2 linked regions of the Macaca mulatta genome follow. The protein of the gene in region 1 purifies or fractionates together with the protein of each later gene. This does not show direct contact. Links are inferred from orthologs where the notes say so. Each region holds a gene or a part of one and is shown in the gene's direction. Other genes may lie near its edges.

Region 1 (3,745 bases):
GACGGAGTCTAGCTCTGTCGCCCAGGTTGGAGTGCAGTAGAGCGATCTCGGCTCCCTGCCACCTCCGCCCCCCGGGTTCCAGCGATTCTCCTGCCTCAGCCTCCCGAGTAGCTGTAGCTGGGATTACAGGCGCGTGCCACCACGCCCAGATAATTTTTGTATTTTTAGTAGAGACGGGGTTTCACTGTGTTGGCCAGGCTTGTCTCAATCTCCTGACCTCGTGATCCACCCGCCTCGGCCTCCCAAAGTGCTGGGATTACAAGCGTGAGCCACCAGGCCCGGCCACTATTTGTATTTTACACTTGATCTTGGCCAAAAGGCCAAGAAGCGATACTATTTATATTTTTATAATACTTATCCCCATCTAACATACTACATACTGCAATTATTTATTATATCTTTTGTTTAGTGTCTAATATCCTCCTCCACCTGCACCCCAGCAGAATGTAAGCTCCATAAGGACAACAATATTGATCCATTTTGTTGTCTGATGTAATCCGCTGTACGCCCTGGACAGAACCTGCTACAAAGTAGGAGCTCAGTAAGTATTTGAATGAATGCATCGTGGCACGGGAAGAACCCAGAAGAAAGGGGCGGCTGAAGCTGTGAAAGGAGCAAGTGGCCTGGCGCGGGGGCTCACGCCTGCAATCCCAGCACTTTGAGAGGCCAAGGCGGGCAGATCACTTGAGGTTAGAAATTCGAGACCAGCCTGGCCAACATGGCGAAACCCCATCTCTACTAAAAATACAAAAATTAGCCCAGCGTTGTGGTGGGCGCCTGTGGTCTCAGCTACTCTGAGGCTGAGACAGAGAACTGCTTGAACCCGGGAGACGGAGGTTGCAGCGAGCTGAGAGCGCGCCACTATACTCCAGCCTGGGCAAGAGCGAGACTCCGTCTCAAAAAAAAGAAAAAAAAAACAAAAAACAACTGTGTGTGTGTGTGTGGGGGGGGGGGCGGGTCAATAAACAGAGCAATACTGTATATGTAAAATACAGAATAGTATGGTACCAAGAACACATAGATGGAATGATCTGTAGCACTTCTCAATTGTATTACATTCAACGAAACCGTTTGGAGCTGGTTCTCCCCCCTCCCCCACTGTCTTTGTTTCTTTGGGAACCCCCACACGGCACAAACCGTGTTTTAATTCCTATTCTCTAGTGTGCAGATAAGTGCCTGGCACGTATTAAGTTGTCAAAAGAGGTCGTGAGCAAGTTAACAAATCACTGCTTCCATGTCCCTAACTACTCTTAAGCTCCTGGAGAAGAGATTTCCTATCTCTTGCGCTTCTACTTCAACGCCCACTTCAGAGAGGGCTCAAAGTAACGTCGTGAACTTAATACGCAATAAGGCAGCGCCCAGAGGCGGAAGAGGCAGAGTTTTTAGCTCCGGCCACGTGACGAAGGTGGGCGGGGCGTCAAAGTTCATATCCCAGCGTCCTTTGAATCAACTTCCTTTTTTCTTTTTTCCGGCGTTCAAGATGTCGAAGCGAGGTGAGGTTTTGCTTCTGGAGGATCCTCCACCATCTGTCGTGCAGTGGCTGGCGGATTCGTCAGGAGCGGTGGCCCTAGGCAGCTGGGGCGCTTTGCTCTCCTTCAGGCCGGAGAGGGAGAGCCAGGCCATCGCAAGAGCACTGCCAGGGCCCTCGAAAGTGGCAGTGGGGTGCTGGAGAGTTGACATAGCAGGATCCCGACATGAATATAGTCTGGATCCCGCGAGATCGCTCTGCGAATAGGGCTATCGTATTGGGGTTGAAGTTAGACTGGATTAGGCCCTGGTTTGCGCGACCTCTGCGGTCTTATGCTTTGCAGGAGCAATTGCGTTTTGCGAAAGTTGGAACAAGGGCTGAGTCGTCTAGGTTCCTTAATTTCGATGTCAGAGTGGTAATAGTGAGAAATAGGCTACTTTCCGTGAGAATCGGGTGGCACACGGGGAGGGCATAAGTAAAATCCGAGCGAGCTAATCTATAGCATACCATCTGTCAAAGTATGTGCGGTGAATTACAGTTTAAGAGTATGAGGGGGAACTGCGAACCATGTCTAGATAGTGATCTCTTTATCCTGTTTACCTTCCCTTTATATCCACAGGACGTGGTGGGTCCTCTGGTGCGAAATTCCGGATTTCGTTGGGTCTTCCGGTAGGAGCTGTGATCAATTGTGCTGACAACACAGGTGAGGTCTTTGACTGCAGGTTGCTATACTCCCCCTTTTAAAAGCACTCAATGGGCCTGTGCCTAATGACCTATTGAGCCGTCAAGAAAGGGGAGAGTGAAAACATCGCTTTTGGGTGAAGTGGCAACATGTTGTGTTGTTTGCTTCAATCGGTGGTGTGACAAGGCGTTCTTGAGGACTAACTGCTTGGGCAGTCAGTGGAGGGAGGGACTTTGGAAGTGTTTGGGAAATGTAATACTGATGGAACGGCCTGATGGGCCCTCAACATTTTTCATTTTTATTTACATTGATTTGTAGGAGCCAAAAACCTGTATATCATCTCCGTGAAGGGGATCAAGGGACGGCTGAACAGACTTCCCGCTGCTGGTGTGGGTGACATGGTGATGGCCACAGTCAAGAAAGGCAAACCAGAGCTCAGAAAAAAGGGTGAGTAAACACTGAGCCCACCTTAACACTGATAAGTAGTGGGGGGACTCTTTCCTTTATTGGAAAATGGATCAGTTTTCAAGGCCTCAAGGTTGTTTTCCATTGAGAGGCAATGTGAGATAAGTATCTTAAGTTTTTGTTCATATTATGTTGGAGGGGGGACCATCATCTTGTCATTTCCATACTTTAGATTTATTTATTTATTTATTTTTTGAGATGGGTCTCCCTCTGTCGCTCAGCCCACACTGGAGAGTGCAATGGCACGATCTTGGCTGACTGCAACCTCTGCCTCCTGGGTTCTCAAAAAAAAAAAAAAAAATTAGAAAATGAAAACGAGAAGCTGCTCATTATTTTATTTTTATTTATTTATTTTTGAGATGTAATCTCACTCTGTTGCCCAGGCTGCAGTGCAGTGGCACATATCTTTCTGTTCACTGCAACCTCCACTTCCCAGGCTCAAGTGATTGCCCTGCCTCAGCCTGCCGAGGAGCTGGGATCATAGGTGTGCGCCACCACACCCAGCTAATTGCTCATTACTTAATCTCAGGCTACCCCCTCATAAGTTTTCCTGTCAGCTGTATGATTTAAAGGGGGAGGCCTCAAAATACTTGCAGTTTGTGTCCTGTCCGGCTTTAGAACTTCTGGTATTTGATGCATTTTAACTTCAGCTCTTGCAGTTTTTTCCTGTGCCTGCCTAGTCTGTCTCTACCCTGGGATGTCTTGCTCTTCTAAAGAGTTCATGGCCATCCCTTGAGTTACAAATATGATGTTGATTTGTTAGCCATGTGTTACAGTTACTCCTATTCCTGTATCCACCCCACGATGCTCTCCAGTAGATTTTTAACCTTTGGGTTAGAAATCTTTTTTTGTTTACCATTAATAGCCACTTGAGGGCTTGGTAGCACTGTGCTTGTGATTCAGCAATTGCATGGGCTTTTTCCTCTTCTCAGAACACTTCCTGGGTCTGATTGGTGGCCCAGGGAGCTGTTAGAGAAGAGCAGAGCAAATGGCCATCACTTTGTAGATGAGATGGCAGGAGAGTGGATTGTTGGTCTCAGTCAGTGGTGGGACAGACCAGAGCTCAGAACACTTCAGTTTTAAAACGAGCTGTGAGTATCCAATTCTGTTAATGTCTTTTTTGGTCCTTG
Region 2 (3,745 bases), on another chromosome or scaffold:
GTGGCACAGGCCTGTGGTCTCAGCTAAGAGGCTGAGGTGGGAGGATCACCTGATCCCAGGAATTTGAGGCTGTAGTGGGCTGTGATCCAGCCACTGCAGTCCAGGCTGGGCGACAGAATGGGGCCCAGTCTCAAAAATTACAAAATTAAAAAGTCACATTGTTCGCAAGATGTTTTCCCGCCTTTATCCCAGATGTGTGACCTCGAGCAAGAAAACCTTTCTGTACCCAACCGCCTCATCTATAAAATGGGGGTAATGACACCGAGGCCACAGAAGGCGACGGTGAAGTCGAGTTCCAATGCTTGATGTATACACATCCCAGGGTTTGCACTGCTGTTTGAGCCCCACGGGAGCAGGCGCTGCCTGCTAGCACCTTAGGTACCTGCATCTGACCCCCTGTTCCTGGTGCTAGCCCCGGATATTGGCAGGGTTGGCTCCTTATCTCTCAGCTTAGACTTTCTCAGGCTGCCCAGACCAACTCGCGCTCTGTCCCTATCCCTCGGATCGCCCCCTTATTCACCTCCTGCGTCCTCGCAGAAGAACTGAAGTCCTTAGAAGGCACGGCCAACCCTGTTCCCTCCCAGGACCCGAGAATGTGGCAGGGTCCCCTGATGTGCTATGTCCACATGGACACCAAGGTCAGTTCTTGGCCGAAGCGGCCAGCGCAGGGGCTGACCGCTCGGACCTCACTCCTCCCAGGGGTGAGTGGGCGACGCTGCCTCAAGTCATTGTCCTGCCCTCCAAGGTTCGCGCTCGTCCTCTGGCAGGACGCCCTGGCCCCGCAGGACGGGGGTGGCCTCCCAGGTAGGGCTGCAGTCGCTAAGTCCGAGGCGGCTGGCTCACCTCACTGAGCCCGGCTGGACATGGGGCCACCGGTCGCCGCGGCCAGGGAACCACCAAAGAGTCAGGGCGAGCCTACCGCGAGCAGCCCCCGCTCGGGCCCACGTGCCGTTCCGCGTAGGCCGGCGGCGCAGGCCACTTCCGGCAGCGGTGCACCATGGGACTTGCAGTTCGCGGGCGAAGGTTGCGTCCGGGGCGTGGCAGCCGCGCTGCATGTTGGGCGCTGTAGGCGCCGCGTGGCATGCTGGGAGCGCTAGGTACCGAAGGCAGATGCCGTCCCTTTGGGCTCGCTTCGTCCGTCGCCACCACGAGTTTCGGGGGACCTTCGCCCCACGCTATAAGAGCAGCCACTTCCGGAACTACTGGCCTTCGCCTGTGCCGCGGAAACTGTCTTGACGGGGCCGGGGGGGAAGTGTCAATGGCTTCTCCTCCATCGTCATTGGCTGAGCGCCTCGTGACGCCATTCTGAGGCGCCTCATGCGGCGCCCCGCTCGGGTCCCGGAGGCTTCTGGGTAGCGGTTTACCCCCGCCCCTTGCATCGGCGCCTTCCTTTTCCTCCCTGACACCGCCGAAGTCGCACGCGTGAGGCCTCTCCGCCGCCGCCGCAGACGCCGCCGCGTGAGTGTGATGACCCGGCCCGGGGTGCGGGCTGGGGACGCGGGGTCCGCGGGCATGCGAGGTGGGCGGCGGGGTCTTTCCGGGACGGAGGCCTACTGGTCTAGCCACACGCGGCCTCGTCCGGCGGCCCCGGGGTGGGCAGGCCGGAGGCCACCGGGATAACACCGCCGTCGCGCCCTCTCCGCCCGCCTCAGAATGCGCTACGTCGCCTCCTACCTGCTGGCTGCCCTCGGGGGTAACTCCTCCCCCAGCGCCAAGGACATCAAGAAGATCTTGGACAGCGTGGGCATCGAGGCGGACGACGACCGACTCAACAAGGTAGCTGCCGCCCTTGCCCCGCAGCCGCCGTAGAGCGCCGTACAGGCGATTTTTCTGCCTGATCCGGCCACATGCTGGAGGGTTCGGGGAGAGGCTTGTTTCAGTCCAGTCGGCGATGTCTCGGGTAGAGAAGTAAGCAGGGTGGGGGCCAGGTGCAGTGGTTCACGCCTGTAGTCCCAGTACTTTGGGAGGACGAGGCGAGCGGATCACCTGAGGTCAGGAGTTCGAAACCAGCCTGGCAAACATGTGGAAGCCCCATCTCTACTAAAAATACAAAAATTAGCCGGGCGTGGTGGTGGGTGCCTGTAGTCCCTGCTACTTGGGAGGCTGAGGCAGGAGAATCGCTTGAACCCGGGAGATGGAGGTTGCACTGAGCCAAGATCATGCCACTGCACTGCAGACTGGGCGACAGAACGAGACCCTGTCTCAAAAGGAAAAAATAAAAAGCTGGAGGGGTACGAGGCAAAGTCGTGATTAATGAGCTTTGGAAGTTTAATACAAGTGAGATGCATAAGATTCCTTAAAAAACAAACAAAAAAGGCAGTCCTGGCGAGTGGCTCACCCAGCACTTTGGGAGGCCAAGGCGGGTGGATTATTGGAGCCTCGGAATTCAAGACTAGCCTGGAAAACATCATAAAACCTGGTCTCCAGAAAAAGTTGAAAAAAAAAAAAGTTGTAGGCAGTGGTGCACATCTGTAGTCTCAGCTACTCAGGAGGCTGAGGCGGGAGGCTCATTTGAGCCTGGGAAGTCAAGGCTGCATGGAATAGTGATGGTGCCACTGCAGTCCCACAGAGCCAAGCCCTGTCTCTAAAATACAATTAAAAAAATCAAGGCCGGGCGCGGTGGCTCAAGCCTGTAATCCCAGCACTTTGGGAGGCCGAGACGGGCGGATCACGAGGTCAGGAGATGGAGACCATCCTGGCTAACACAGTGAAACCCCGTCTCTACTAAAAAATACAAAAAATTAGCCGGGCGAGGTGGCGGGCGCCTGTAGTCCCAGCTACTTGGGAGGCTGAGGCAGGAGAATAGCGTGAACCCGGGAGGCGGAGCTTGCAGTGAGCTGAGATCCCGCCACTGCACTCCAGCCTGGGCGGCAGAGCAAGACTCCGTCTCAAAAAAAAAAAAAAAAAAAAAATCAGCCAGGTGTGTGTGCTCACACCTGTTGTCCCAGACTGAGGTGGGAGAGTCGCTTGAGCCCGGGAGGTCAAGGCTGCAGTGAGATCCCACCACTGCACTCCAGCCTGAAGTCAAAGTCAGTTTCATTGACAGCTTATTTTGCCCGTGTTGAAGATACCTGTGAGTAGTCAACATTAAGCGGTGAGACATCGTGTGTTCCCTTCTCAGTCCTAAGTCTAAGAAACCTAGTGTCCATTTATTTTTATATCACTTACCAAGCGAGGGTGGTGGCTCCCTTTGGGCAGTGCAGGTCTAGAAACTTCAGGGCGTATTCCTCTGTGGGGGACCCAGTCCTGCTGTGATTCTGGAAGGGATAGGGCCAGGGATACATTTGCACTTTCCTGGTAACAGCTGTGTGATTATCTGCTCCAGGTTATTAGTGAGCTGAATGGAAAAAACATTGAAGACGTCATTGCCCAGGGTGAGTTGATGTGGAGGGGCTTTCATTTGTTTTCATGGTCCATCCTAATCCCTGCTGGTCCGTCTGTGGCCTGCCAGGTTTCGCTTGTGGACCAGAGCACCCTAGAAGCCTCACCTGAGGAGTGAGCAGGGCTCCAGTGGGCTCATGTCATGGGCGCTTCTAGACACTCCCAGGAGTAGGGCAGCAGGGGGCACCCTGTGTTCTCAGTGGACGTTTAGGTGGCCCTGCCTCTGAAGCTTGGTGTCTGGAGAACTGAGTTCATGTCAGCAGTTCTTACCGCATGCTTTCTGTGAAGGAGCTGGGGGCAGGGACTACGGGTGCCAGGGATGTTCACAGGCTTCTTGCCTCTTTGTTGGGCAGATGGTTTTTTG

Evidence for each region. Proteins that work in one complex are often made in the same cells at the same time.
Region 2: the proteins of RPL23 (region 1) and RPLP2 fractionate together in Homo sapiens (co-fractionation; 4 studies listed by BioGRID). This does not show direct contact. The link is inferred for Macaca mulatta from reciprocal best matches to the Homo sapiens genes RPL23 and RPLP2.

What each region holds. Positions count from the first base shown.
Region 1 is NC_133421.1:63,145,321-63,149,065, reverse strand, and holds the start of RPL23 (large ribosomal subunit protein uL14), read left to right. Parts: upstream 1-1,450; 5' UTR 1,451-1,480; coding exon 1,481-1,493; intron 1,494-2,087; coding exon 2,088-2,171; intron 2,172-2,202; exon of another isoform or gene 2,203-2,337; intron 2,338-2,468; coding exon 2,469-2,597; intron 2,598-3,745.
Region 2 is NC_133419.1:703,039-706,783, forward strand, and holds the start of RPLP2 (large ribosomal subunit protein P2), read left to right. Parts: upstream 1-1,416; 5' UTR 1,417-1,458; intron 1,459-1,652; 5' UTR 1,653-1,653; coding exon 1,654-1,776; intron 1,777-3,325; coding exon 3,326-3,374; intron 3,375-3,409; exon of another isoform or gene 3,410-3,543; intron 3,544-3,745. UniProt on the Homo sapiens protein: Plays an important role in the elongation step of protein synthesis.